2 linked regions of the Macaca mulatta genome follow. The protein of the gene in region 2 interacts with the protein of the main gene of each other region in a biochemical or structural test. Links are inferred from orthologs where the notes say so. Each region holds a gene or a part of one and is shown on either strand. Other genes may lie near its edges.

The links.
Region 1: the proteins of ITPR1 (region 2) and CABP1 form a complex in vitro, tested with the Homo sapiens proteins (2 studies listed by BioGRID). The link is inferred for Macaca mulatta from reciprocal best matches to the Homo sapiens genes ITPR1 and CABP1.

The regions. Positions count from the first base shown.
Region 1 is NC_133416.1:127,982,002-127,985,817, reverse strand, and holds part of CABP1 (calcium-binding protein 1), read right to left. Parts: intron 1,524-3,816; coding exon 1,493-1,523; intron 1,223-1,492; coding exon 1,079-1,222; intron 686-1,078; coding exon 576-685; intron 346-575; coding exon 198-345; intron 1-197. UniProt on the Homo sapiens protein: Modulates calcium-dependent activity of inositol 1,4,5-triphosphate receptors (ITPRs). Inhibits agonist-induced intracellular calcium signaling.
Region 2 is NC_133407.1:143,427,559-143,431,374, reverse strand, and holds part of ITPR1 (inositol 1,4,5-trisphosphate-gated calcium channel ITPR1), read right to left. Parts: intron 3,553-3,816; coding exon 3,415-3,552; intron 126-3,414; coding exon 1-125. UniProt on the Homo sapiens protein: Inositol 1,4,5-trisphosphate-gated calcium channel that, upon inositol 1,4,5-trisphosphate binding, mediates calcium release from the endoplasmic reticulum (ER).

The sequences.
Region 1 (3,816 bases), on a different chromosome or scaffold from region 2:
AGATGCATGAAGAGATGCATGGGGAAGGAATGGGAGGTGGATTAGAGCGGGGCGTGGGTGGAGGGATAGGAGGATGAAAGGGCTGGGGGTTGGAAAGTTAGAGTGTATTGATAGGTTACATGATGGATACACAATCGGAGGGCTCCACAGATGGCCACTGCTGGCTTGCTTCTCTCCCACTTTCAAGCCCCACCTACCTTCAAAGTCCACTCGTCCATCCCCATTGAGGTCCACATCTCGGATAATTTCCTCTATGTCTCGGTGTCCCACCTGATGGCCCAGGAGCTTCCTCATAGCCTCTCGCAACTCACTGGTGCTTATTTCCCCATCACCATTGGTGTCAAACTAGAGAAGGCAGGAAGGAAGGAGAGGTCGCCCCAACATGGCGATTGGCAGCATCAGGTCCCAAAGTTGAGCTCCTTCTCCAGTGTCATTTCCCCCTTTACCAGAGACCTTTCTCTGCCCAAGCTCCCTCCCCTGATCTGGGACTTGGGGCTCAGGCTTCTTTTGAAGTATTTATCCTGCAGATAAGATTCCAATAGCTGCCCCCATGCCTGCCTGCCTCTGCCCGTTACCTCTCGGAAAGCATCTCGCAGTTCCTTTACACCAATCATATCTGCTGTCTCTGCCAGGAGTTTAGGCCCCATTAGCTCCACGAAGTCATCAAAATCTACGTGGCCACCCACTGGAAAAAGAGGAAAGGGCTAGGTCATCCCCGATAATACCCATTCCCTGTCTCCAAGTAGACAACTGACAGAATGGGCAACCCCTCCTTGAACTGCTCATCAGACAGAGAAAAACTTAATAATAACAGGAGCCCTCTGTTCAGTTCTTCCTGTGAGCCAGTTACTGGGCTGTTTTACAGATATTCCCTAATCTACTTTCTGGGCTCCACTCCTCCAATTCGGCCCTCATTTTACAGGTGAGGAAACTGAGGCTCAGAGAGGGTAAGTCGTTGGCCCCAGATCACAGAGCTGGAAAGAGGTGGATGCAGAATTTGAAGCCAGTCCTGTCTGACTGCAGAGGACAGCAAGGGTGAGGACCGGAAGGGACACAGGTGCCTGGTAGAGGGACTCACGGTTCATGTTGATCTGCTGGGACAGTTCGATGAGCTCCATCTCAGTGGGCATGTAGCCCATGGTGCGCATGCAGTTGCCCAGGTCCCGGCAGTTGATGTAGCCATCCTTGTCCTTGTCGAATTCTCTGAAGGCCTCTCGGAGCTCTGGGGAAGTGAGCAAAGGTGGATGTCATTGGGGGTAGGACCTGCAGATCCTCTGTGGGCAAAGGCAGCCCAAAGGCCCACCAGCGTGGAAAGAGGGGCCCAGGAGCTTCCCAGGATGCTGGGGTATTTCTCTTGCCTTCTGTGCACACCTTCAGCAGCTGGTTTCACAGAAGATAGCCCGTTCCCAGGGGCCTCTCTTCCCATCAACCTCCCTTCCCACACCTTCATGGAGGGTTAGGCAGTCCTTTCCCCCAAGGGGCCAAGTTTTACCTTCGATTTCCTCTGGTCGCAGTGATCTATCCTGAAACAAAAGAACATGTCCTATTAGCCGCGACAAGGGACCTGGAAGTCACAAAATATCTAACCTGGGGGCCATCCAACTGGCAGCAGGCACTGGGTAGGAGGTGACGAGGATGCAGCAGAAGTGTGCCTGGATCGGATCCTTGAGGGGAAAAGAAAACCCCACATCTTGCTTAGACATGGAAGCTCCTGGACCGCTAACAAGAGATTCCCAAGGAGCCACCAGCCCCACCAGCCTGGGCACAGAACCTCTGTGCCTCCAGCCCCTTGTTCCAGATACAAGAATGGATGAGCAGGAGTTTGAGGCTGTAGTGAGCTGTGATGGTACCATGGCACTCTGTCACCCTGGGCAACAGAGTGAGACCCTGTCTCCAAAAAAAAAAAAAAAAAAAAATGAGTCAGGGAACAGAGTTGGTCTAGTGGCAAAAACCTGCAAATAAAACAGGGTCCAGGGAGGCCACAACAGGGAGAAGAGAGCACCACCCAACGAAACAGGAAGAGCAGGGCGACAGAGGCTGCAAGACAACAGATGAGGCGCCGGAGGGGAGAGAAGGCCGGGCCATCCTGAAGTGGGGGTAGGAGGACAGGGAGGAATCAGGAGGAGACGTGGCAGCAGAATGGGGCTGTGCCTGCTTCCCAGGCACTGCCCCACCTTCTCCAATTTGAGCCCCATCCCTATACGTTGCCCTGTCACAGGACACCATATAGGACCCCAGGGGCCACCAGTGCTTCTGGCTGCAGCCAGGGTCCAAAAAGCACATGTCTCCAACCTCAAGTAGTGCCCAGGTCTCCTGGGCAATCAAGGCAACCCCGAATCCAGGCGTCAGAACAGATGGCAGAGACACCTCCGAGGAGCAGGCCTGGAGGAAGCTCAGGTTGGTGAGGTGCCAGTTGTCCCAGGCCTGCCCAGGAGGGAGACAGACGGGCATGAAATGGGTACAGGTGCCCAGTTGGACCTGGTTAGTACACTCTAAAAGTGGCCTTCAGCGTCCAGCCTCCCCCGTGTTGCAGCTCTCTGCCTTTGGGCAGGGAGAACACCAGGCAGGTGTGCCCATCCTGAAGAGGCTCGCACAGCTGTGGGCATACCTCTCGTGAACACAGACATGCGGGCATGCCATAGTGAGCGTGTGGCACCTCCACTGTGCATGCAGGACGTTCCAGCCAACGGGGCCAGGGTGGGTGGAGACAGTCACTCCAAACTGGCCCCAGGACAAAAGACAACACCAGAAAATCTGCAGATCATCTAGAAAGGGAAGGGCTGCTGAGTCACATCTCATGGGACAACCAGGTGCATAGGACCAAGAGCTCAGAGGTGGCTCTGTGTGGCAGGACAGCGTTGAGAGTGTGTGTGACCTTGGAGGGAGCAGACTGCAAGCTCCCAGCTCCGCCAGGCCGGGGGTAGGAGTCACCCGAAGGGAGGCGTGTCTCTGAGATGACTGCATGGACGTTCGCCTATAAAGTTCGCCATGGGCCAGGCACGGTGGCCCACGCCTGTAATCCTAGCACTTTGGGAGGCCAAGGCAAGAGGATCACTTGAAACCAGGAGTTCGAGACCAGCCTGGGCGATATAGTGAGACCTCATCTCTACAAAAAAAAAAACACCTGTTTTAGTTAGCCAAGCATGGTGGTGCATGCCTGTTGTCCCAGCTACTCGGGAGGCTGAGGCAGGAGAATCACTTGAGCCTGGGAGGCGGAGATTGCAGTGAGCCAAGATTGTACCACTGAACTTCAGCCTGGGCCAGAGAGTCAGACTCTGTCTCAAAAACAAACAAACAAAAAAGCTGGTCATGGTGCCTGGCTCAAGGGTAGGTCGCAGTCATTCCAACACAAACCCATATGTGTTGGAAAAACCATCCAAAAAGGATGTTTTGTGCAACGGGTCATCCCAGCAGTCAGTGAAAGTGAGCGAGTAAGCACGTGTGTACACATACGTGCAGAGCACACCCCCGAGGACCCCACGCATCGGGCTTTAAGCAGCCTCCCACTTCTCCAGGGCCCAGTTCTGCAGGACTCAGGAGGAACAGGCATTGCTGACTCCATCGCAGCCCCTTCCGTTCCTCCTGTACACCCAGAGCCCAGGGGGCAGCAAAGCTGGGTGCCCCTTCACGGGCTGTGCCCGCCACCAGAGCTGGTCTGCTGAGCACTGACGGCTGGTCCTCGGATCACACTCCCCGGGCACAGCAGTAGCAATGTGTGTTCTCTGCCCTGGAGTAGAGCCAGGGATGCCCACTAATGTGCCAGGAAGATCACGTGCAGCAACTCAGGGTCAGGTGGGAATGCGGTGCAGGAACATG
Region 2 (3,816 bases):
CCTGGGTTGAGAAACAGGTTTATGTGTTTATGTAGCAAAGCTTGATTCTGCTGGTTGCCTGCACAGAAATTCTGCAAAAATTCATGAGCCAGCCTCATTATCTCTTGCATCTTGGTATCTTCGGCCTGTGTGGGAGGAGAGAGATGAAAGCACTGATTGCTGGGCCAGGAGACCAGCTTCTCCTATACCCAACACCTCCTGCTAACGTGGGAGTCAGAAGGTGTTTGCTGGGGGCCTGTTGTGGGTAAATATTGAGGGGCTGCACTGCTGACCCTGAAAAGAAGCCAAAAACTTGTCTATGCTCAATGATGAAAGTGAAGATCTTATTTGGGTGGGAGGGAGCACTGCAGAGTGAAGGCTAATAGAAGGCATCCACAAGTCCATCATCCAGCAAGGACTGAAACTTCTGAACCCCCTACTTCTAAAGACAGGGAGTGGCTGGGCACAGTGGCTCATACCTGTAATCCTACCCCTTTGGATGGATCACTAGAGGGCAGGAGTTTGAGAACAGCCTGGCCAACATAGTGAGACCCCCATCTCTAATAAAAAATAAAAATAATAAAAATTTTAAAAATAAACAAAAACAGGGACTGACAACAGAACAGGGGCTGACTTCCTCACTGATGCTGAGTAGTCATTTTCCCTCTTGGGTTCACCTTTTTAAGTTGTCCAACCTATTAGACATTAACTTTTGCTATCAGCTTACATGGCGAACTGGAAATCTCCTTAGATTATACATTAGAACAACTGTGCCTGCCATAACTCCTTTATCAAGTACAATTTTTAACCTCAGACTTAGTTTCCCCATCTGCAAAATGGGGATAATACCCTCCCTGGCATTTCACAGGTTGGATTATCTGATTCATACATTAATAGCATAAACTCAGTATTTGTAGAGTTAAATATTCTATAATAAGCCAATTCTATAAAACCCATGACCATTGTGTCCAATTCTAAACAAGCAAACATTTAAGAAAGTAAAAACAGAACAAGAATTTCTAAAATGGAAATCATCCTTCATATTTTTACAGCCCACAATAGTCTTCCTAAGTCTTCAGAGCCATCACCTCATTTCAGAGGCAAGAGAGGATAGCAGGTAGGAATGCAGGTCCCCAAACCTGACTACGTTCCTCTTATCCCAGATCTCCAACTTCCTGGCTGTATGACCTGGAGCACATTTCTTAGCCTCTCAGTGTCGCTGTTTACTCATCCATGAAAAGGAGATAACAAAAGTGCACACTTCATACGATTGCTATGAAGATTAAATGAGAAAAGTCACATGAAGTGCTTAGACAGTGATTACTCTGTAAATGTTAGCTACTGGTTCCGGGCTAGACTGAGGTCAGCAAACTTCTTCTTAAAGGGCAAGGCAGCACATACTTTGGGCTTTGTGGGTACAGAGGGAATATCAAGGACATTATATAGGTACCTATGTGACTATTTTAAAATGTAATAACCATTCTTAGCTGACATGCTGTTCAAAACAGGTGGTGGATTAGATTTGGCCCATGCCTATAGTTTGCTAACCCCTGGTCTAGAAAAATAATTCTGTGATAAAACAGAGCTAAGGGAGAAAGGTGAGCTCCCAGCTTTGATAATCAAACCAAAACAGAGGAAAATTTAAAAGGACATTAATAGCAAGTCCCAGGACAACATAATGGGGATTACATTTTTCCCTTATTAACAGGAGGAGTGGTGAACCTTCTAGCTCTAAGAAATCAGAGGGCTTGGGATAGACAGCCACTGCTGGTTGACAGCAGTAACCTTAAACAGTTCCACATGCCTCCAGTCCTCCTGTATAAAAGGAATCTGCTGTGCACAAGCTAAGTGAAGAACCTTTGTGGTGTGAAGTGGATTTTTCCAAGGTAAGCAAGCCCCAAAGACATCAAGTCACAAGAGGTTACCTGTGGAGGATTCCTCCACCATTCTTTGGAAGTCCGTGCCCATCCAAAAGTAAATAAAAGCGTGCATGTGCACACACACATATACACACACACACACACACACGATATTCTGCCTTTGAGTCACCAATTCCAACCACATCTGGTTACCTGTAGATTAATCCCGCTCTATGAAGGCATGACTCTCATTAGGGAAACTGATGATATTATGAGACAACACTATGGTCAGTAAATGATCCCCTCGCATTCCTTACACAAGAGGAGGTAGATCAGCTTGTTGGTTCTGGTCTAAATGATAGGCAAAGTTTGGATGATATGCACACCTGTATCAACTGCAAATTAGCTATGTTATTATACCTATGACAGGGATTACGCTTGGACTGTATTCGTAGCTATTGAAAGGCCTGACCTGCCCAATTCATATGGTCCCCATGACTGAGGAGGAAGTTCCTTTTGCAAGAAATTTCCTAGGGTGGAAAGCGACAGGCACAGGGAAGGCAGCAGGTCCCAGCTCCACAGTGAAGTGGAGTCAGCTTCACTGTACATAGCTGTGCCATCCATGCAAGTTACTGAACCTCTCCAGCTGCAGCTTTCTCATCGAAAATGGGGCTGAAGATAGCACCACTCATCTCATCCATGTGTCTTGAGGATGGCAAGAGCTAATAATGTGTATAAAGGCCTCCGCATAGCGCCTGGCACCCTGCAAGCACCTAGAAATGAGCCTTCATCAGGTGACTCTTCTCTAGCAAATGAGTCTCTCTAGCAGTTAATAGTCAACTCAAGAGACCTGAGTCTGAGCCCATTACCTCTAAACACCCCCCAAAGCCTCAGTCTCTTCATCTGTCAAGTGGGCACCACACAAATACCCCAGTGGGTCTTGTAGGCTTCAACAAATGACTTCATAAGCGTCTTGTCAGCCTACATTCACTCAAAGCACTGTCAGCCTGCTCCTGCCTCTGTAAATCAAATACAGATCAATGACAAATACTTATGTGAAAAATTAGAGGCAAAGTACAACTTCCAACAACAGAAAAGACCTACATCAAAGCATCACCTGATAAATCCAAATACTTAAGCAGATGTCAGCATCTTAGTGAGGACCTCAAAAGTGGGCACATCCCCTGTTCCCACATGCACTTAATAGCTGGTGTTACTTAAATTGCTTGAGTCACATTGCAAATGAAATTGAAACACACCAACCCGTGGGTAGACAGAGGTCTAAGCTCTGACACAGACCAAGATGTCTGTATCCAATGCGGCTTGGGAGTATGGAGAATAAATGGACTCTCTTTCTTTACAGAATCTTAAAACTGGGGATGAGGATTATTCACGGGTGACTGTACTTTATTTTTCAGATGCTCTGTTTCATATCAATATCTGAAATTGCTTTGTAGTCACAATAGTCACACTGGATGCATTTCTTCACCAACAATATCCAGATGTGAAGGGTTTGGGGAAACCCAGGAATCCGCCCCATCCTGGGAGCAGCTGCTGAGCGTGAGGCCCCACTCACCTTCTCATAGGGAATCTGCAGCAGCTCCAGCACCACGGCGTGTGCACCCATGTTCCGGAGCAGACGCTGCTGCTGCTTCCTGCTCTTTCTCACCGAGGCACTCTCCTGAACACAGAGTTTGCTGAGCCGAATCAAAATCTAGTAGAAAGAAAGAAATCAGTCTCAGAAAACTAGGAACTACAGCTGGAAAACAGATTGCAGGGGGTGGTGGTGGGCAGGTAGGCAAAGGGAATAATGCATTAAAAACCTACAACGAAATTCCTTCAGTATGTGGCATTTCTGTTAATTCCATCAAGCCAAATCCATAAGGCTAAGGGCACGTCTTCCAGAATAAGCAGGGGATAATGGCTTCAACAACAAGTGGGACAGTTTCAGAGATATCACTTAAAATGGAATGACCTG